3 linked regions of the Schizosaccharomyces pombe genome follow. The protein of the gene in region 1 interacts with the protein of each later gene in a pairwise test. Each region holds a gene or a part of one and is shown on either strand. Other genes may lie near its edges. The genes, in order: arp1, mug5 and jnm1.

Evidence for each region.
Region 2: the proteins of arp1 (region 1) and mug5 interact in a two-hybrid assay, tested with the Schizosaccharomyces pombe proteins (one study listed by BioGRID).
Region 3: the proteins of arp1 (region 1) and jnm1 interact in a two-hybrid assay, tested with the Schizosaccharomyces pombe proteins (one study listed by BioGRID).

The regions. Positions count from the first base shown.
Region 1 is NC_003423.3:4,082,113-4,089,827, forward strand, and holds arp1 (centractin family actin-like protein Arp1), read left to right. Parts: upstream 1-1,824; coding exon 1,825-1,841; intron 1,842-1,884; coding exon 1,885-1,915; intron 1,916-1,984; coding exon 1,985-2,049; intron 2,050-2,088; coding exon 2,089-3,115; 3' UTR 3,116-3,236; coding exon of another isoform or gene 3,237-3,364; 3' UTR 3,365-3,396; downstream 3,397-7,715. Other genes in the region: protein sro1, read left to right, coding at 95-415; SPOM_SPBC1347.14C (uncharacterized protein), read right to left, coding at 167-532; mrm1 (ribose methyltransferase), read right to left, coding at 3,237-3,364, 3,408-3,681, 3,728-3,943, 4,039-4,326; ilv5 (acetohydroxyacid reductoisomerase), read right to left, coding at 4,767-5,981; homoserine O-acetyltransferase Met6, read right to left, coding at 7,167-7,206, 7,249-7,715. UniProt on the Schizosaccharomyces pombe protein: Core component of the dynactin complex which assists cytoplasmic dynein by increasing its processivity and by regulation of its cargo binding.
Region 2 is NC_003424.3:5,238,681-5,245,939, forward strand, and holds mug5 (protein mug5), read left to right. Parts: upstream 1-4,372; coding exon 4,373-4,930; 3' UTR 4,931-5,434; downstream 5,435-7,259. Other genes in the region: poly(A)-binding protein Nab2, read right to left, coding at 125-367, 414-512, 556-1,137; SPOM_SPAC14C4.07 (transporter), read left to right, coding at 2,112-4,046; cell wall glucan endo-1,3-alpha-glucosidase Agn1, read left to right, coding at 5,527-6,801. UniProt on the Schizosaccharomyces pombe protein: Required for correct meiotic chromosome segregation.
Region 3 is NC_003421.2:1,452,812-1,460,794, reverse strand, and holds jnm1 (dynactin complex subunit dynamitin), read right to left. Parts: upstream 4,583-7,983; 5' UTR 4,360-4,582; coding exon 3,304-4,359; 3' UTR 2,940-3,303; downstream 1-2,939. Other genes in the region: nucleoside diphosphatase Ynd1, read left to right, coding at 1-286; PPR-repeat protein ppr6, read right to left, coding at 1,603-2,934; gpi8 (pig-K), read left to right, coding at 4,837-5,979; cbl1 (cystathionine beta-lyase), read right to left, coding at 6,381-7,553. UniProt on the Schizosaccharomyces pombe protein: Required for correct meiotic chromosome segregation.

The sequences.
Region 1 (7,715 bases):
GAACGGTGATACTTCTATTCTACACATTTCTATTTAATCACTGTTATTTTCTTTTCTTTTTAATTTCATCAATAAACATTTTTGATTCATCGCTATGTTTTCTATTCTTAAACAAGGTGTCATCTCCAAGTCTCTTTTAGCCGCTACCTCTTTAAAGGCAACGGCTTCAAGATTTTCCTTCTCTACTAGTGTTGCTTCCCGTGTTGACGGTACTAAGAATGGTTGGTCTTTTACCGCATCCAATGTTGCTGATCAAACCACCGATATCGGCATTAACTCTGAGTCGGCTATGAGCTGTAACGACCAAGAGCAACCTCTTTCCTTTTACGTTCAAACTGTCAGAGATGACTTGAACTCTCCTAATTGGGGAGCTGAGCAAAGAAAGGGTGCATTTGATTGGGAAGTAAGCGCTTAAACCCGAATATTGTATACAAGAAGAAAACCCGATTTCCGTTATGATCAGAAGAAAATAATAAAAAGGGAAAACAAAAAATTGGAAAATTGAATGTTTTATCTTATTCGATAAAAGCATTAAACAATCTAACAATGCAATCTTTTTTAATTCGTTATTTTCGCTTTTCTTTTTTTTTTACTCTTCTTGATGTAATTGTTAAGACATGGATTTTATTTTTATTTTTCTAAGGAATTTCGATTATTGGAATTCTTTTACCACCCCCATCCCTCTTTTTATTACCAGTTTCAACACATTGGTTCCCCTGCTTTAGAATGTTTATCGATATAAGCCGTGAACGGTTCCTTGCTTTTACCATTTTTAAATGAGGCAAGACATATGTATTATTAGTTTATACCCCCAAGACTTGTTAGTCTTTATATTATTAGTTTGTCTACTTGTTGACTATAATGATAGTCGCTGATAAAGTTGAAGTTTCCACCTTAATCTTTGTTATTTTATATCCAATTCGCCATGGTCACATTGATTTGATTGAATTTTCGGTTGCTGGATTACAAAAAAGAAATGCCAAATGCGATACAACTGTTACATTTAGATTCAGAATAGGAAATTGTTTGTATAATTAAAAAATAGAAATTGTTTATTTTAATACATTACTACTGATTAATGAGTAGATGAATGGTGGAAGATTGTAAACAATTATGAAGACAAGGTCAGCATTGTCTTTCCGTCTAGCTAAGAAGCAACCCGATGTGCAATTTATAAAGTAGTGCGGTTTAGTGTTGATACGTTATCTTTTTGATAGTTTGATTAGTTATTTCGAAAACACGTTAAAAATGCAGTGAATTTTGTACAGTCTTCTTTACAATCCATTCAACAACAATTACGAGTACGAGCGGCTTTATGATGGGTCTAACCAAGATGTAAACATAACCATTATTAAGCATATACTACAATTCAACTGAAGAAACAAATTCAATCGAAAGGGTTGTCGTAATTTCTTTATATGGTTTTCATTCAAAAAGCCTATTGAATGAAACAACTTATGTATGATAATTGCAGGGTATAGTGATACATAACGAAGCTTAATACTGCTAAGTTTCTTGTCAAGCATGCTACTTTCTTTAGACAATTCCCAATTGCTTTAACTAATAGCTGTTAGTGACCAATTTCCATTGGTTTAAGGTATTTTTTTAAAAAATTGGTACGATTGTTGTTCCTCCTGTTAGTATAAAATTTCTTGGCAAAGCCCAAAACCTTCAAAGTTGCGTCTTCTATTACTGTTTACCCGCCATTTCCTTCATTATTGCTAGTGCTCTCAAATTTCAAGCCGCTTAAAGAATAATTTAAACCCTTAATAAAACTTTCTTTTAAAACCTCCGAGTCTCAACTTTGATATTTCAGCTTTTTGGATGACTGTTACTGAAATGTGCGTGTCTTTTGAAAGAATTCTATTTATTGACGCGTTTTAGCTTTGATAATCAGCCGATATGTATCGACAATGTATGCCAGACTCTTTTTAGCCGGCTATTTCCTGTTAAACTGTCTAGTTATATTGACAAAACTATCTAGGGCTCTGGATTTATTAAAGCTGGATTCGCTGGCGATGATATTCCCAAATGCCTTTTTCCGACTTGGTATGAAGTTTATTTCTCATACTAGATACTAATATACAGTGTTGGAAGAATTAAGCATGAGCGTGTCATGCCAAGTAGTATCCAAAAAGATATGTTTGTTGGTTCTGAGGCTCAAAATCTTCGCGGGTTGCTTAAAATTCAACGTCCAATTGAACGGGGAATCATCCAAAATTGGTCCGATATGGAAGAGATTTGGAGCTATATTTATTCAGATCAACAGCTCAATACTTTACCGGAAGAACATCCCTTGCTTTTAACCGAACCTCCTTTGGCTAACATCCGAAACAAAGAAAAAATTGCAGAGTATTTTTATGAAACGTTAAACGTTCCAGCATTGAGCTTTTCCTTGCAGCCTGTATTGGCACTGTATGCCTCCGCACGTACAACTGGCATTGTTCTTGAATGTGGAGATGGCTTGACTCATAGTGTTCCTATTTATGATGGGTTTTCCATTCCATCAGCTATACAACAAGAGGAAATTGGAGGTCGTGACGTTACAGATTATTTGCAATTGCAACTTCGAAAATCTGGCCACGAACTCGTCAGCTCGGCGGAGAAAGAAATTGTCCGGGAAATTAAAGAAAAATGTTGCTACGTAGCATCTGACTTTAGATCAGAAATAGAATCATGGACTGAACACAAACCGCAGATTCATACATATCAACTCCCAGACAACCAAACTATAACTTTGGGTACAGAATGCTTTTCTGCGCCTGAGGTTTTATTCAACCCGGAAATGATGGGTTCTGAGGCGTCTGGTCTTCACATACAATTGTTCAAGTCTATTTTATTGTCCGACATCGATTTAAGGTCAACCTTATATTCAAACATTGTACTTTCTGGAGGTTCAACGTTATTGAGAGGATTTGGGGAGAGATTCATCTCTGAGTTACGTGCAATTTCTGGGAAAAAAAATCAAGTTAAAATTTATGCTTCCCCTGAACGTATGCATAATGCTTGGCTTGGCGGCTCAATATTAGCCAGTCTAAGTACATTTCGTCGGCTTTTAATTACTTCAGAGGAGTATAAAAATGATCAAAACGTAATTTTTAGGCGAAGATTTTGAAACTTAAAACGAGTATTGCAGTTTATCGCTCTTCATTTGAAACTTTTAAAACCAATATTACATTGTACCAGTCTAAAGCTTTAAAATTTGGTATATCTTTTAAACAATCAGTCTAATATTTTCAATTCACTAAGCTATACAAAAGAATACCAGCAGCTACTGAGACGTTTAATGAATCAACGTATTTATCACCGCCGGGAATTGAAACATAATGAGAACATTGCGTTAAAATGTTCGTTCTTAAACCCTCTTTATAAAGTTAGCAATAAAGGCATTCATACAATACACTTACTTTCACTTCCTAGTACAAGTATTTTCGGTTCATTCATTAGTTCTGTTTTGATTTTATGCGGGGTGTAAATTTGATCTTTGTTATCTGGCAAAGCTGGCTTGGTCCCTATGACTTTCCAACCTTTTAAAACTGAGTTCCTCAAAAAGACCATAGGATTTTTCACGTGGCTAATGTTGAAGACTTCAAGAGCTCCAGCTGAAGCTTTACTAACGACCGGTGACAAGAATGTATTATGTTTTTTTGATAATAAAATCCCTTTAGCGCCTAAAATATACTTAAACCCAATTAGAAATTTTAAATAGTAGCAAACGATAGCTTACAGCGCTTCGAATAACGGCACCCATATTTTGAGGATCTGTTATACCGTCAACGTAAACATAAAGTGGAGGATAGTTATCGGACGATGAGCTTTTACCCTCATTCAAATCATTATGTGGAGAATCCTGCCCATTTTTGTTGTTGTACTCTTCCCCAGCTGGGAAAAGTAAATCTGATATTGTTGGAACATTCAACGAGGATGCCTCCAAAACAACCCCCTAACATGTTAGTGAGAATACAAACACAAGTGCATTTTCGGTGTCTTGTAAAATCGTAAAGGGTTATGGACCACAAAAATTCTCAGAAAACGTACATTGTGAGGTCGGCATGCTGTGATTTGATTTAAATGTTCTTTATTCACACTTTTTATTGGTATTTTGTACTGTAGTTTGTTCAAAAATTCTTCAAATTCACTATGAATGTCAGCATTTTGAACATAAAGTGCTCGACATTCTCTTTTGCGCGTTGCAAGGGCATTTTTTACTGAATGCGTTCCAAATACGAATTCCGAATCCTCTTTAATTAACCGCCGCTCCTTGGACAAATGCGCTTTGGCTTTTTTGGGCACCTCGCGTGCTAAATTAACACGACTTCGTATCATTTTCGTGGTTACAAATAAGTAAAAACTTACTAGTGTCGTTTCGTAATTAGCATACACTGGATATTGTGATGTTCAAACCAAATAAGGATTTTGTACAAAAGTTTTAGTCTAAAAACACAAAATATTAGCAACTTTTACATAGTAAGCGGAAAAAGAATTAAGTATAAACTAAAAAATGAGAATTAAATTGGTTTAAATACAACATAATATTATATGATTAGACGAGAAGATTGAATAATATTTAAAACTTTAAAGAAGTTACCATCATGCACCAAAGAAATTAACTGATGTAAAAAAGTGTACAAGAGATTATGACATGAAGGGCAAAGAAATATACAAAATCATTATTCGAATAGCCAATGGATATTTAAACCGAAATGATTAATATGAAACAATATATAACCTAAAATTTAAAAAGTATATGAATATTCTTAAATATTCTAGTGCTTGTTGTGTTCAGGACGGAGAGAACGAACAACCTCACCAGCCTTCCAGATTTCCAAGTTGCGGATTTCCTCCAACTCCTTATCGTAAAGCTCACGGTAGTTGGGAGCAGAGTTGTATTCCAAGGAACGCTTAGCCTCGTTACCGTTCTCAACATTGTCATACAATTCATTAAGGACCTTCTTGTTAGCCTCAAGGAAACGAGGAGTCCAGTCAATGGCACCACGACGAGCGGTGGTAGAGCAAGCGGCAAACATGTAGTCAAGACCGTACTTGCCAATCAAGGGGTAAAGGGATTGAGTGGCCTCTTCAACAGTCTCGTTGAAAGCCTCAGCAGGGGAGTGACCACGTTCACGCAAAACTTGGTATTGAGCCAAGAAAAGACCGTTGATACCACCCATGAGACATCCACGCTCACCAACCAAATCGGAGATAACCTCCTTCTTGAAAGTGGTTTGGTAGATGAAACCGGAACCGACGGCAACAGCCAAACCAATGGCCTTTTCTTGAGCCTTACCAGTAACGTCTTGGTAAACAGCGAAGGAAGAGTTAATACCACGACCTTCCTTGAAAAGGGTACGAACGGTACGACCAGAACCCTTGGGAGCGACAAGGATAACATCAACATCCTTAGGGGGGTGAATCTTAGTTTGATCCTTGAAGATGACGGAGAAACCGTGAGAGAAGTACAAAGTCTTACCCTTGGTAATAAGGGGAGCAATCTTGGGCCAAGTCTCAGTTTGAGCGGCATCGGACAAAAGGTTCATGATGATAGAACCCTTCTTGATGGCCTCCTCGACGGGGAACAAAGTCTTACCAGGGACCCAACCGTCTTCAATAGCTTGCTTCCAGGAAGCACCATCCTTACGGACACCGACAATAACGTTCAAACCTTGATCACGAGCGTTCAAACCTTGACCATGTCCTTGAGATCCGTATCCAATGATGGCAAGAGTGTCGTTCTTGAAGTAGTCAACAAGCTTTTCACGAGGCCAGTCAGAACGCTCCCAAACGTTCTCCTTGGTACCGGCAAAGTCCATAACACGCATACCGCGAGTTTGCATCAAAGGGGCGGTCATGCGAGGCGCAAAACGCATGCTGGGGGCAGCAATGGTGCGAGCCATAACAGACATGCTACGAGTAGCCAAACGACGGCTACCCATAGTACGCAAGGCCTTCATGGCCATTCTAGAGGAATTACGGAAAGACATTTTTTACCCAAAAATTTTTGATTTGGAACTGGTGTTCTTGGCAAGTATCTCTTCTAGATATACTGAATTTCTCTCTACTGCTTTGTGACTGCTTCTTGTGCTTCCGTCTAAGTAACAGCTGATGGAAAAGAAAGATAACGTAGCGGCTTGTATTGTGTTATAAAAATGTAAACAAAACCACCAGAATACTCCTTTTTCAAGTTTAACAAGATTTTTATCATGTCCGGTGTAAAGGCACGTGAATATAGAGCTTTGTGTTCTCGAAATAAGCACTTTCATAAATGATTGACCCAGTATGTTGTGATGTAAACCATAGCTTGGATACGGTCGGTGCGTTGTTTTTCCTCATGACCGGCAAGGATCTGTCGCTAACTCTACGAACCCGGAAGAAGCAATCTTGATTTTGCCCCAGATATCCGCTTCCTAGTCCGAGTTCCAATAATCTTATCCTATGCTGTATTGCTCTCTCTTCATACCACGGTGGATTGCTACATTTGTTTTTCCATAGTATATCGAATTGTATTCTCTTTATCCACGAAATAAAACTTTCAACAAAAAAAAAACAAAATAGTTTATTAAACATTGTTTTTATAAAATCTATATATTAAACACTGAACGACTGTAAATCCCATCAACAAACGCTTCATAGAATTTTTTTTGGTGGCATTAAAAAAGAATTAGTCCCCATGTTGGAGGGGTGAGAATGTAATTTTCAAATTTCATATTGTGGCAAAGTGATTTCGCTAGATACAACTGGAATATTTCCATATACGCATCACTCTTCAAGAAGATGCATATCTATCCAAGAATCGGTTAGACGAATGCAGAAAGGGTTGAAATAGGTTTAACAAGGTTTTGGCAATTTCTATCAATGTATACTACATTTTCTTCTTTCTTAAAGAAAGGCATACAAGGAAACCATCCAGCTCAATCGCTCTCTAATTCACTGCCCGCAGGAACCTAAATTGACAAAACAATAAGAAAAGAAAGGTGGAATGAGAAGTTGAAAAGCTAACGAAAAAAACCATGTTTTGAAAATTAACATCCTTTTTAAATAAAATAGTCATAATATACGTTTCAAGCTCATTAACGAAAGTGATCGTGTTTATACATGAGGAGTTGAATCCTCAAGTTGACTAAACTAGCACACGATCTTTCTCCCCAGGCCGTTGGTCCGTAGGATACTTATACCACTGTAACACCAGGATGGTAACCAGTAGGATAACTATTGGTAAGTTATCAACAATCCTAAAAACACTTTACTTACCAGGAGGTTATGTCTTCCATTTCTCCAAAAACGCTTTCGCGGTTGGTATCATTAACTTGGGAATCAAGTCGCTCAAAGGAATTAGTTTGAGACATGATATCAATTAAATGTTCCTTTTGGAATTTTTGAATATGTGAGTTTACTTGAGTAAACTCAAGCAAAAAACCGTCGTGGCCTTCGGCCGAAATAATTTTTTCCAAGGTAGCATTGGGAAAAGATTTGGCAATTTCAACTTGTTCGTCAAATGTGAAAAGACCATCGCTTTCAATACCGAGTACGAGTACGGGTAAAGACAAATCCTTCATGACTTCCTTAGGAGAGTCTGAACCGCGTCCACGAGTAATATCATGGGTGTCCAACTTTTTAGTAATCGAAATGTAACAATTAGCATCAAAGCGACTTACAAACTTCTTCGCTTGGTAACGTAAATACGATTGCGCAGAGAAGTAAGTATTAGCAGGACGTCT
Region 2 (7,259 bases), on another chromosome or scaffold:
AAAATAAATATCAAGTTTGCAAACTCTAGAAGGTATGTTCTTAAACGAAGTATCCTGGCTTGACTATCAAAAGTAGATATGTGCCAATTATACGAACACGAAATAGTATCATAATTCTCTAAATTTACACAGAAGGAACATGAAGTTGTTCTTCTGACTCGTTAACAGCAAACGAACGTTCACTCAGGGACGTCTCTTCTGTTTTAGAGGGTGGCCGCCATGTCATATTTCTGCTTTTCGTCGGGTGGATAAAACGACAAGCTGGATTCAAACACGGTTTATATTTACAAGGAATTGGAATGGTTGACATGGACATGAAAGGTGGTAATGTAGTAACCGTAGCTGGAGATGGATGTCCCTTGACACACTGTATACGTTAGTAATAGTTAGATTTAAATTATTATGGTACTTACATCAGCAGCTTTGCATTCTTTACCAGAAGCACACATTTCACTGCTCAGGACCATACCTTCTCCTGGGGCTGCGGCTGGTGTCGGATGAGCAAATATACACTAAAGAGTTAGTTTTAACAAATTATCTGATATTAATACATACGTTAGCACGGGAGCACTTATCGGCATATTTGCACAAAGGGACCTCTTGGGTTTGAGTGAGAGCACGCTTGGCAGCAGGCATAACGGATTTCGAGTAGTTAAACGAAGCTGCCATGGGATTGAATCGCTGTTTCTGAGATGTAAGTTTGAGCTTTTGTCCGACACGCCCAGTAGGTAGCTCCTTCTCTTCACGTAACGAAGTTATATTAGGAGTTTGAGAAGATTGAGGTTGTATGCTAGTTTCCGGCACAGAGAAAGATTGCTGCGACTTGTCAGTTGACTCCTTCTCGATAAAATCGATTTCGTCGATCTTGCTGACTGACTCAACTGAAGCATTTTTTGATTTTTCAAGCTCTTCAATTTGATTAAATAACCAAAGTGAGAAGCTAGTATCAAAATCGGACCCTATTAAATCAACTAGTTCTTCATTAATTTCAGTTTGTGTTTTTCCATTGCTAAGCATCACAAGAACAAAATCGGCCAGAGAAGCAGCCTCTTCTCCCCACCCATATTCAGAAAGTTTTTTTTCAATCGAATCATGAAGTTTTTCACTATATCCAGGTGTTTCCAGTAATGTAGTCATGTTGTTGGTTTACAGTCAATAATTAACTAAAATAAGCCAAAATAATAGAGATGCTCAAATTTACAATAAATGTACTCCGAGAATTAGTAAATCAATTCCACTCCTGTTATGGAATCAGAATTTAATAAGTTATGTACCGGTATATGCTCTAAAATGAAATCAAATAGCTCAACTTAGCATGAAATAAAGGAATTGAGAAGAAAGAATACAATCACAAAAATATGTTCACAGACAAGAAGTTGGCAAATTTGCCGTTCCAAAAGAAATAAACTTCCTATAGATGATGCGTTCGGAGAGCTTCAATGGAATACGTAGACTAAAGGTAATTTCTAGTAGCAATAGTTATATTGATACTGCAAGCCGTAAGTTAAAATACAGCAAGAGCCTCAGTTCAAACGTAAGTGGAATATAAGAAATATCTTTCACAGTAAGAACAGAAAGAATTAATAAATAGCATAAAATAGCGAGTTTGCTAATTTTTTTTCGAATATTATACCCAATTTCACTATAAGAACTATTCAACGACTAACGATGACACTATAACGCCACAACGTAACAGCATTAATTAAACTAGTCCAGAATCTAAGCGTCTAATATATATACATCTAAAGGCTTAGCCAACTACAAAGCAATTACATTGCATTGTCATTTTGGAATATAGTTATTTCTTCATAGTAACTAGTAGTTCAAAATTACTTTCTCGAGCAAATATTTTCCTTCGGTTCTCAACCTTCTTAGTAGCACCAACTACCTAAAGTCTTCTAATTATCTCGAAATCGAAAACGTTGTGAAACGTATATATTGCATATAGAAAAATTTTTAGGATATAGGTGCAAGGAATTTTACAATTGATGCTGCAGTTTGAGGGCAACGAGTTAATTGATTATTGCGAACATTTCGAGTAGAAGAGTATTTGGGTTATAATTTACATTCTATTTTATCAGCGTACCCACCATTTTGAGAAGGAGCTACAAATGTCTTCACACGATGATGATCATACTCCATTACTAATTTCCGATCCGTCAGTGAACAAGCCCTTTCGATCCAGAACTCCTTCACCAGAAAGAGAATACTGTTCTGATTGTCCTTTGCAAGCTAAAGGTTCTGCATGCAACGGTAATTCTCATTCATTAAAGCATGAAACCAATGGTGCCAGTTCAAGCAATAATAACGTTGCAAAGTCAAGCTCGCATGACTCATTTAAGGCGAAGCCTAAAAATTACGACTCTACCTCCAATTCTAATGAACCCATCTCTTTCAATGAACCAGATTCATCTAATTCTCATCATAATAATGAATCTATATGTAACAATGATAACTGTTGTCGTGAAATCGCCAGAAGACGTTCTTTATCTCCACTTTTGATTCTTCCATTAAACTTTATTAATGCCTTTTCTTGGGGCATGATTGAAATACCTCTGCTCTTTTTACTTCGACAGGAACTATGTGCCATTCATTATAACCTTGATCCTACACAGTTGTCCCCAGATGACCCAATATGCCGACTAGCGGAAATTACTACTGGTGTTTCAAAAGTCCGTGCCGCTTTTGGCTCTTTAGCCGCCTTTTTAGGTCTTTTTTCCACCGCTTATTATGGAACAATGGGGGATATTTATGGTCGCCGCCTTGTACTTTTCATTACCGTCTCATTTTTGCTGCTTGGTGATTTATGGCTTTTATATCAGTCCTATGCCCCCAAGCATCCATATTTTGTTCTTTTTGCTGCTGCCTTGAAAGGCTTAGGCGGTTATATTTCTACCGTTGTAGCCAGCCAAAATTCCTTTGTTGCAGATTGTTCTAAGACCGAGTTTCGTGCATGGTATTTAGGATTAAATTTTGCTGCTTACCATCTAGGAACCGCTTTGGGACCTAGTTTAAGCGGATTCATTGTGCAATACACTCCTCATATGTATTATGTATTTTATATTACTTCAACTTTTTGGATTATTTATTTACTTTACGTTTGGTTGATACTTCCAGAAAGCCTAGATGTTTCGGAAAGTAAAGAGCAGCAGAATAAAATATCTGGATTTTCCTCGATATGGAGATCATGCCTTGAGCCACTTATAATTCTTTGGCCTCGAAGTTTATGTACAGAGGAATCATGCGAATTCCATCAGTACGATATTAATGCTGATACCCATGCAGGAAGAAGACACTGGGACGTGTTACTTGCAGCAATATTGATATCTTTAACTTTACTCGGCGCTGGTTCAATGGGCTTATTGCCGCTTTATACGGACTATAAATTTGGCTGGGGTCCAATGAAGGCTAGCTTAATATTATCCACCGACTCTTTTGCTAGTTCAATCACATTAGTTGCGCTATTCCCTTTACTTTCTAAAGTTATCGAAAAAATAATCGAAAAGCTTTATTCTTCTGAAGGATTATTTGAAGATCCAAGTCGTGCAGACAATACCTCTTCCCTACAAGGGATTCGAAATGTTTTCTCTTATTTAGTTCGTCCTGGTTATTCACGTTCTAGTATATTGCGTGGTAGAACGGCTGACGAGAAATACACTATAGTTAAACGAGACGTTTGGAATGCACAGTTAGGCTATGCTATTGCTTTGAGTGCAGCGGTATTGTTAGCAGTTGCCAAATCCGATGTTGCACTTTTCACCGCTGTTATTATACAAGCCATCTCAAATATGGTTGTTCCTTGCGTACAATCTATTGCTCTTAATGGAGTCCAGTCCGAATATAATGGTCGAGTATTAGCTGCGTTTGCTGTTTTTGAAGCGGTTGCTTTGATCATTCGAGGCCCAATATATGCATTTGTATATACTGAGTCTATGAAAGTGTCATATCCTAATATGATATTCTTTTTGAGTGCAGTCATTTATGGTTGCTGCTTTATAATTATCTTCTTTATGAGACTTTATCGACCTTTAAATCGCAAACGTTGAAAATTCTTTTGACTCGATCGGAGATGGAAATCATTAAATTACTACTTAGAACTAACAAGTTTTGTGGGTGATTTTAGGATGAAATAACGGGTGGTGTTTGAACCGCTATTTATTCATTTACTAGACTAAGTTCAGACGCCTAATATTTTTCGATACAATTATTTATAAATTTTGAAGCTTAAATATCAACATCAGCGTTCATAATTGTGTATCTACTTTAGGATATTCAGCGTAATTTGTTAATCCTTTATTATACTTTAATTTTAAAAAAAACGCGTTTACGCGTAGTAGAGATAAAAGCCTGTGGCTTCTTCCTAATTCTCTATATGTGCTACCTAAGTAGAATGTCTAGTCAACAAATGCAGCTCACCATATCTGGATTTGAAAACAGAATTAAAATCCTAGAAGATTTAATGAATGAATTTGACAGCAATTTATACATTCGTTTAAAAAGAGAATGTGATTTTAAGCTTCCAAAAGAGTACGACGTGTCAATACATGCTTTAACTATACTGATGAAACGGCATTTATCAAATATGGAACCAATTGATTGTTACCAAGATTTAGATACTGGTACGTTGCAAACGATGTTGATATTTTGCTGCACTCTGCGTATGATTGAACATTACGAGAAAAGTCTATCAAATATAAACTTCTTTTCATTGTCAAATGATCTAAAACGCTTGGAAGAATATAATACCTCTTGTTCTGTACTACTGAGCTTGTATCAAAGACAGTTAAAAAAAATATCAACCACTATCGAGTCATATTACTTAGCAGATACACTTCGGCATAACCAAAATATTTTAAATTTATGTGAAAGGATTTATAATATCCAGAAACTTTTAAACAAGAGAGAGAAGGCTAGTGTTCTTCGTCATTAAAAAAATTTCATCAGACCTAACCTCTACCCCTTGTCTTGAACTGTTAAACTTATATCTGGAATCAAAGAACAGTAGTGCTTAAATACTTCTCACATGTTCAAAATAACAGTCATCTCTTAAATTTATGTTGTTAGACAATGGTTCTTTCGATCTTTATGGGTTTACTTTCTTTTGACAAATGTAAAGTTATGTGAAAAACTAAGGTGATAAGTGGATGGCGCGATTAAATCGCGAGCTTTTTTAACCAATTAATTTTATTTTTACAACTTTGATTATACTTATGAAAAGTTCGCCAGCCATGCTACACTTTTTCGTTCAATCTCCAGCCCATGCCAGCCACTAACACGAAATTCATGAATCCTTTCTTTGTATCGCTCAACCAAGAATATCTTATATAATATAAATATTTCAGGCATGTTTTACCCCGTTGATACTGACTTATCGCTGGTGAAGCGATAACTAATACCTCTTTCATTTATAATTTCTTTGTTTTTCGGCAGACAAAGGATATTGGAAGACAAAGGAAATTCGCACATCTAAAGCATCATTCTTCAAAGTATATATAAACCTTGTTGTATTTTATATATCGGAAAAAAATGAAGCTTGTGCTATTTCTGGTTCTTCTTTTTTCAGCGTTAATTAATTTGACTAACGCTGATAAGATGGTTGTTGCCCATTTTATTGTTGGCAATACTTATCCTTACACTGTTTCTAACTGGGAGGAAGATATCCAGGATGCAATCGCTGTCGGTATAGACGGATTCGCTCTCAATATGGGATCAGACGCGTGGCAGGTTGAGCGAATTGAAGACGCATATGACGCGGCAGCCAGCGTTTCCTCAGACTTCAAGCTTTTTATTTCTTTCGATATGAGTATTATTTCAGCAGATGCTGATTTTATTGAAGGTGTTGTTCGAAGATTTGCTGATAAGCCTAACCAACTGTATTATGATGGTAAAGTGTTTGTTTCTACATTTGCTGGAGAGACAGATACATTCGGTTATTCTGATGTTAGCACGGGCTGGGATTCTGCTGTAAAAGAGCCTTTAGCATCTGCTGGTTATCCTATATATTTTGTCCCAAGCTGGACCTCCTTAGGCCAAGGGGCACTGGAAGAAAGCGTTGCAGATGGGTTTCTCTCTTGGAACGCATGGCCCACAACGGATGCTGATATGAACGACAATGATGACATTGGTTACCAGAATCTTGCCAATTCTTTAGGCAAGTTGTATGTTGCACCAGTCTCGCCTTGGTTTTACACTCATCTTTCTTACAAAAATTGGGCCTATAAAAGCGATTGGTTAATTATTGATCGGTGGAATGAAATGCTATCTGTTCAGCCTGACATGATTGAGGTTTTGACTTGGAACGATTACGGTGAATCACATTATATTGGAAATATTCAAGGCGCCTTGCCGGCTGGTTCGGAAGGATATGTTGATGGGTTTGATCATACCGCATGGCGGTATTTGATGTCTCCATATATATCTGCATACAAGCTTGGTTTGTCAGAACCGTACATTAACTTTGAATCGTTATTTTATTGGTATAGACCGACTCCGAAATCTGCTACAGCGACCGCTGATAGTTTGTCGTATCCCTCCGGTGGTGATTATATGGAAGATGAAATATTTGTGCTTGTTTATCTGTTGCAATCCGCGGAAGTCACCGTAACATGTGGCTCTACAACACAAACATTCAGTGGTGTTCCTGGTGTGAACCAATTCACAATACCCATGGAAACGAATGCATCCCCTTCCTTCACAGTTGCTCGTCAAGGTGGTACCTTAGCCTCTGGAACGGGACCCGAAATTGTTGATTCCTTGTCGATATATAATTTTAATGCCTATACAGGTGTTCTGTACTTTTAGACTTCTAGTTTTGCTTTTTGTTATTTATTATAATCGGTCTGGGAGGATATAACGTACAGCATCTGGAAGGTCTGCTCGATTTCTTCGGTATTGCTTTATCAAAAAGGTTAAGCAATGTTGTAATAGACCCCTTATTTTTACTTTCGGGAACCATTTTTAATTATTTTCATTGTTTCATTTTAATCCATCCGGTCTATATATTTGTTGGTACTTTTATCTTTTTACCATTCATTTGGTTCTGTTGAAAAATTCATTATCGGATTGAAAATGTTCATCAAAATATTCATAACTTTTTCTGCTGGACAGGGTCTCTCGTTTTACTTTACTCCCAAGTTACTGAAATTTTTTACGTTCTATGGTCTGCTGGCAGTTACCTAATATTTTACAGCACTTATAATGTTAATAGATTGTGATTGTTATATATTTGCATATAAATTTCACGTACACTTTAAAAGGAT
Region 3 (7,983 bases), on another chromosome or scaffold:
TTTCTGCTTATTCTTTCTGTTCTCTTTGGTTTTGTTCGGGTATGATCCGAAAAGGCGCCAACGTTTCAAAAAATTCCTTCTGCGCTTGCAACGTCGCAAGGCTCCGTACATTATGTCTGCAAATGGAAGTTATGAGGATATAGCAGATTTTTCTGATGATTTAGAAATGAGCAGTCCCTCTAAGTGGCATGGACCCCCGATACGTACCACTTCAAGCCATGTTCTCGCAGACAGACTTTCGTTTACTGCTAGTCGAGAGAGAACGCCTAGATCCCCTTTTCCTTAATATTCTTTACCCGTAATTTTAGGGATGGACAGCTTTCTGCTGCACTTATATGTTTCTTTTAGCTTTTTTGTCATTTTTTCGTTCGTTCTTAAAGAGAAAGCTGTGAATTTCAGTTGCTTCTCTATTTCACTTTCAGTACTTCTTTCATTCATAATACACCTAATTAACCAAACCATATTAATCACTCGTCTCAACATTATGTAGGCGTGCCAGTCCTTTGTTTACTCGTATGAATATTTTTATCAAGTCAGCAAAAACTCCTAAATGTCCATTTTACACTTGCGATATTTGAGTCATATCTCTTCTAACCGCTTGTGGCAGTTAGCATAATAATCATCATCGATTTTATTAAATTTGAGATAAAGCATATAGTTGAATTGGGTAAACTAAATATAGCAACCCCTAAGGTAAAACATGTTTGATGTATGGAAAATTACATATGTTAGTTATTTTAAATTTTAAACCATTACAATCAAGACCTCTTTTCAACCTTTGTTAATATGATAAAAAAGAGCAATCTGTATCTTAATATATCGAACTCAAACAAATGAAGCTATATTAAATAATATCAAAGTGAAGCAACTTTTATGATTCATCCTATGCATTGAATATAACTAATCTGCCTAATTCGAACATTCTAAATCTGCAAGATAAATAATTTTGAAAGTAGAATCTCCATAAATTTTCTTAAAAAACTAGCATTTGAAGTGTAGCTTATTTGAACAAAAAAGACCCAAGTCTTTGTTAGTTCACGAAAGAGCATTTTAATGCGTCGGTAGGCAATTAAATAGTGTTAAGAGTCTTAAAAAATCATGACGACCTTAATAGTCTTTACAAATTTATTGATTTAGCTTGAAAATTAGAGCCCTCAAGCATCAGTAGTTATGTACTCAGAAATTGTGATGCACAACAAGACATTGAATCTTTAGTTTTTTAAGATGCTAGCAAAAAAATTTTACTTAAATTTTTTTTAAGTAACTTAACAAGTACAACAATTCTGGAGTTCTTTGATTACTAAAAAGGGCACATTAATTAATATCGATATAATATTTGTCAAAGGATAACATATTATTCGTCATAACAAAAAACCAGAACTTTTAACATCAACATTCCCTAACTTGCGATTAGAACCAATTTTCGATAGTCCTCTAAAACCTTTAAAGAAAATGCATGCCTAGACACTTTTAGACTTACTAAATGACATTAGACACCGTTATTTACGGATTTGCTCAAATTCCAGAAGCAGAGAAATAAATATAAGAAAAAAGAAGGGATAAATTTTTAATAAGGAATGTACAGTGTGAATGGATAGATCATCAAGGTTTAGCAGGATCTCCTACGGATGAATGAATTTGGTTCAACACGTTTGACCACTTAACCGAAACTCGTTTAGTATCATGAGGTCGTTCAGTTTCTGCATATCTCATCAATTTCGATATTTGCTTTTCGAGAAGTTGTAAATGTTTTTTCTTGACTTCGTTGTTTTGCTTTTCCAATGATCCTAGAAATTGTTTAGTCCAACTCTCACAGACTTTTTCTAGCAACCCGAATCGCCCATGCTTCATATAAAATTTAATTGATGTATCGTATATCTCAATTATTGGAACACAATGCCTATACATTTGAGAGTACAAACGAATGAAAAGCTCAATATTTTTTATTCGTGCATGACCAGCTGGAGCTCTAAATTGTAAAGATGCAATGGACCAATATATTATGTAGCGCCAGGCTAACTCAGGAAAATTAATTTTATAAACAGAAGTAAGCTTCCTTGACAGAGATACTGCACTTGAGACATCACCTAAATATCCTAATGCAGAAATGATTGAAAATACTGTATGATGTGTAGGAAATGTAACGTTTCCACAGTCAACTTTTTTACTAGATGAATTTTCGTTTATCCCCCAAACGGTATCTATAAGATCGTAAATCTCTCGAATCTTTCCATCTCGAGATAAACCCACCATCAGATAATCATATGTAGTAGAATTAGGTACCAAATCGTAATTTGGAAAATCGACTTCAATCATATCAAGCATTTTACCAGAGACAGGTTCCGTTACCGGTGATCCTCTAAAAGCAGGACTCTGGAATTTAGAAAGCGACCATCTGTTTCCCCCAATTACACCGAGAATTGCATTAAAGTAATCGACACTTGGGCGGATTCTTTTCTCCTTTACTCTTGCTACTATATATTCAAGTATATGCTTGTTCCCAGTATACATTGCAACCCGTAAAATATGGGTATAGTCAACAATGTTAAATTGAATTCCCAAACGATCAGCATCTTGAAGGATTAGCTTAATTTGTAAAGAAACTAAATCACGATCACGATGTCGGATGTTTTTTCCATTTTTGGGACAAACAACGGACCGTAATATTGATTGAAAATCCGAAGTTCTGAGTTGGTCAAACTCTTTTTTTGAACGTGCTTTAGAATATTCAATAAACAAGGAGGATAATTTTCCATAAGAAGATACCCGTAATAAGTTAGACGCGATGGGAGATGCCGAAGGTATAAATTTCTGTGAATCACTTATATCGTACAGTAGTTCCTTAAGTATGTCGGTATGGGAATATCGTTTTTGTAGAATTAACTTAAATGTACATTTTCTTATATTATTTGGTAAGGAACCCAAAATTCGCATCCTGCTACATGAAAGCGAACCGAATGGTAATTTCTGGTGGTCGGTAGAACGCAACTAGCTACTTCAAATAAATCTATGACAATTCTGTATTTGAACAAGAAGCAAAGGTTAGTGAAAAGTATATTGCTTTTTGTGAAGTAATTAGGTTTCAATATTCCTGAAATAAATGTAATTATTTGCATACTCGATGAAACGCATATAGTAACAAAAACAGAAATTGTACGAAGCTTCTGATACTATCGCAAATAAATTTTTCTTTGATATAGGAAATTAGGAAATTTTTGTTTACTCTCATTCCTTAACGTTCAAGACTTACGTCCAAAAACTTCAGAACAAAGAAATGCAGCGTAAAAATTCAATAGCACTATCCTATTGCAATTTTAAAACGCGTTTTTCAAGCTGTGTGACAGTGTCAGATAATCTCCTCATCTCTTCTACGCTTTGTGTGTAAAATTTTGAATGATCAAGGCGTTCAACTGTATTTTTCCATTCGTTCAACTCAGACTGCATAGTCATCATTACATCTTTTGAACCCTGCCAACTGCTAATTGCTTCAGCCGCATCGGTGTGCATATTCTGTAAAGACTTTAGCCGTTCTAACAACAATGGTAATATGGGCATATACTGTTCAACGAAGGGAAGTTGGGAAGAACAAATCTCTAACATGATAACAATATCTTCTTCCGTACACAATTCCTTTAACGAAGAGTTTTTTAAAGTCGTTTGTTTCTCTATTGAACAAAGATTTCTTTCATGGTGTTTCAAAAAATCTTTAGCAAGTAATTGCTTCCATGATTCAATTCGGGATTGCCAAAATTGAGGATCCTGCTCAACAATTTCAAGTTTTTCCATACATTTGTTTAAAAGCTCGCTAAGCGGTTCATCAGCATACCCTATTTTTGATTCTAGTTTGAATATCCGTTTGTCAAGGCTATCCAAATCGAACGGATATGAGAGAGTTGGTGACTTCAAGGACTCAGAAGTTTTACTGTTAAGATTTTTTTCCGTTTCCAGGGTATCTTGCAAAGTGTCATCTGAAAATTGTTCAAGTCTCTTTTCCATAGTATCATCATTACCACTAATGGCAGTGTCACTGATAGTTTCTGACTTTGACCCTTCACTGTTTATGTGTTTATCCCACAATCTATCCAACATTTCCCCTAATTGAGTAAGTTCCTTCTGTTCTTCGTACATCATCGACTGCTCCCATAATTCTTCAAGTTCGCTGCGAATTTTCATTAGTTTCTCTTTCCAACATTTTTTTTCAGTTTGATCGGAAGATTTCCTGAGTCTTAGTCGACCAATTGTTCTCATCGGTACATAGCAATGTTGCTCTTTAAGTTTACTCAAGCATTCTTCTACAGAGAATTGTTTTGTAACGATGCTGGGTTCAGAGGAGCTGTCTAGATTAATCATTTCTTTCATCTTTTTTAATTACTATCAGTAAACGAAATTGCTTAAAGGCGTATCTCAGATCATATGCTTACACGTTTGATATTTTTCGGGAGTAATCGATGGTTTAGGGGTTTTATTTGGTTTCAGTTCCTTAAATAATAGGTGTTTTCTTATAGAATAAATTTCTTGATGTTTTATAGTGAGCACTATTACTTCGATAAAATACAGTTCTAGTCGCAAGCAAGTGCAGGTTAGCAAGGGAGCACCATAGTAGGTAAGCGAGTAAGCACAACAAAGTCGAACTTTACATCTGCATATACCAATAAAAGGGCTTGATAATTTTTTTTTGAATTATTTGCAGGAATCGTTTACTGAATTAACGTGTAAAAACTTTACATGCTAATATCGTGCTCAAACATTACGCTTTGTCACAAAGTTGTATAAACGTGATACTACTAAACGGCTTTATGTTTATTTAATTTCAACAACTGAAGAGTAGCATTCTTAATGATTGTTCAGTTTGTGGCACTTTTGCTGCTCAATTTGCTGCAAATAATAGCTGCAGAAAGTTCGCATACAAATAATTGGGCCGTCTTAATTTCTACCTCGCGTTTTTGGTTCAACTACAGACATACTGCGAATGTTTTAGGAATATACAGATCAGTCAAGCGTCTTGGAATCCCAGACAGTCAAATTATATTGATGATAGCTGACGACTACGCTTGCAACTCTCGAAATTTGTTTCCAGGAACAGTTTTTGATAATGCAGATAGAGCATTAGATTTGTATGGAGAAGAAATTGAAATTGATTATAAGGGCTATGAAGTTACTGTTGAAGCGTTTATCAGATTGTTGACAGAGAGAGTCCCTGAAAATACACCAGCCAGCAAACGATTATTGACAAACGAAAGATCTAATATCCTAATTTATATGACAGGTCATGGAGGCGATGGTTTTATTAAATTTCAAGATGCTGAAGAATTGAGTTCTGAGGACCTTGCTGATGCAATTGAGCAAATACATCAACACAAGAGATACAATGAAATCCTATTTATGGTAGATACATGCCAGGCAAATTCTTTGTATACAAAAATCTATTCGCCAAACGTCTTGGCAATTGGTAGCAGTGAAGTGGGAACTTCTTCTTATTCCCATCATGCTGATATCGATATTGGAGTTGCAGTGATCGATCGCTTCACCTTTTCTAATTTGGAATTCTTAGAAAATAGGGTTGATAGTAAAAGCAAATTGACTATGCAGGATTTGATCAACTCCTATAATCCGTATGAAATTCATTCTACACCTGGTGTCCAACCCATCAACTTACGAAGAAGCCCGGATGACATTTTAATAACGGACTTCTTTGGAAACGTTCGTGACATTGAATTGCACAGTGAAAAAATAAATTGGATGTTGCCCGGTGAAAACACTACCAAACCATCAATAAAAAGAAATAGTTTCGTATTTCAGGCACAAAATGACATGCAGGATGACGGTAAAGGTTTTGGTATTTCAAATCTAAAGAGTTTTCTTCCACCAACCAGAGAACTTAAATACAAAAAACATCCTATTTCTCGAATTATCTCCGCTGTTGTGTGTATTTCCTTCTCTATTGGTTTTCCGTACTATGCCAGTAAGTACCTGAAATAGGCGTTTCAAACAGGGTTTCTCACGTTTTTTATGACATTCATTAACACATTAATTTATCTTCTATTTCAAAGTACATTTCAAACGTTTGGATTGGTTTCTTTGTAGACTTGGATCATCCCTAGTAATTCGAGGACTAATGTTACTCAAAATGCTTTTGCTTCATCTTAGGAAGCGTAGGCTAATGCCAATTACTAATTATAATTTATATACGGTCAATATCTCAATAATATTTTCCATTAAAATTTACACATATGTAAGTAGGGATGAAGCGATGTTTTTAAGCAAAACTTCGATCATTTTAATATTTGATGATTTAAAATTCTATATGCACCACAACTAGTAACTTAAGCAACCCTTTCTCCAGCTTAGTTGTGAATACCACTATGCCTTCATAGACGAAATCAATTCTGTTTAAAATTTGCTTGAGCAAGGGCATTTTCGAGGTCAGCCTTGAGATCATCGACGTTTTCGATGCCGACACAGATGCGAATCAAATCTTCACTCAATCCCCGAGCGTCTCGAACCTCCTTCTTGATAGAAGCATGACTCATATAAGCGGGCATACTGATCAAAGAGTTAACAGCACCAAACGAAACCGATATTTCAAAGAGCTTAGTAGTGTTTACAATAGTTTTAGAGACTTCAACGTCGCCAGTAAAAACAGACATTACAGCACCTGGTCCACGTGCAAAGGAGTAAAAGATTGCGGTTGACTTAGCGTCAGGGTCTAATCCAGGGAAGTTGACCTGAAGTCCCTTGCTCTTTAAGAATTTGGCAATTTCTATTGCATTCTGCTGTGCACGTTCAACACGCAATCCCATCGTTTTAATACCGCGCAACAGAAGGAAACATTCGAAGGGAGCCATAGCAGCACCCATTGCGTTGATGTTAAAAAACACAGATTTAGCAATCTCATCGCTTTTTGTGGCAATGACACCACCCATTAAATCGTGATGACCTGAGAGATACTTTGTGGCCGACTCGTAAACTATATCATAACCAAAGTCCAAAGGGTTACAAAGGACAGGAGAAAGCATAGTATTGTCCATTACCAATAAGGCATCCTTGGCTTTTGAACGAGTTATTTTAACAATAGCCCGAATATCACAAATGCTGATACGGGGATTAGTAGGACTTTCAATCAAAACCAAGTTTGTGTCTGGGCGCAAAGCTGCCTCAAAGGCTGCCAAGTCAGAAGTATCAACGTTATCCACTTTAAATCCATATTGCCTTTGGTTAAAAGAGAGTAAGCGATCAGAGCCACCATATAGATCGTGGCCAGCAACGACATGGCTATTAGACTTGCAGCAGCGTAAAATCATGTCTAAAGCGGACATACCATTGCTAGTTACAAAAGCATGTTTCGCCTTCATAAGTTTAGCCAAGTGCACTTGAAGAACAGAGCGAGTAGGATTACCGGAACGAGTGTAATCAAATTTGCCCATATGCTCTAAGCATGGCTGTTTAAAGGTAGCTGATTGATAAATTGGGACTGAAGACGCATGATACTGGTCTTCATTGCCTTCAACATGTACCAATTCGGTATCGACAGAATATTTACAATCGCTGGGCATAGTGATGGTCATGGAAGATAAAATTTAGGAAGATAAAATAGGCAATATGAGAGTATAGTAGATACAGATATGAAGCGAAGAACAAATCTTTTCTTCTTAATAAGAAACAGTGATACCAAAATTCAATAAAAGGTGTACAAAAACAGATGTTGCAAAATTAAATTTTTAGGACGAGTATTAAGACCTAGAAATTGGCAAACAAACTAACAATGATTATCAGGCAGTAGATGGTCATTTATGTACTTTTTGAAGCTTCCTAATTGTAAAAAATGTTTGATAATCGCTACAATAAACAGATAACATTAGACGAGCGAGAACGACCAATATCCCTGACCCCTTTTGCGATTTTTATGCTGCCGATTATATGCTCGATTTTACTGATGGAAACGTATACGAATCGATAGACAAATGTAATATAGCGTTTTTCCTC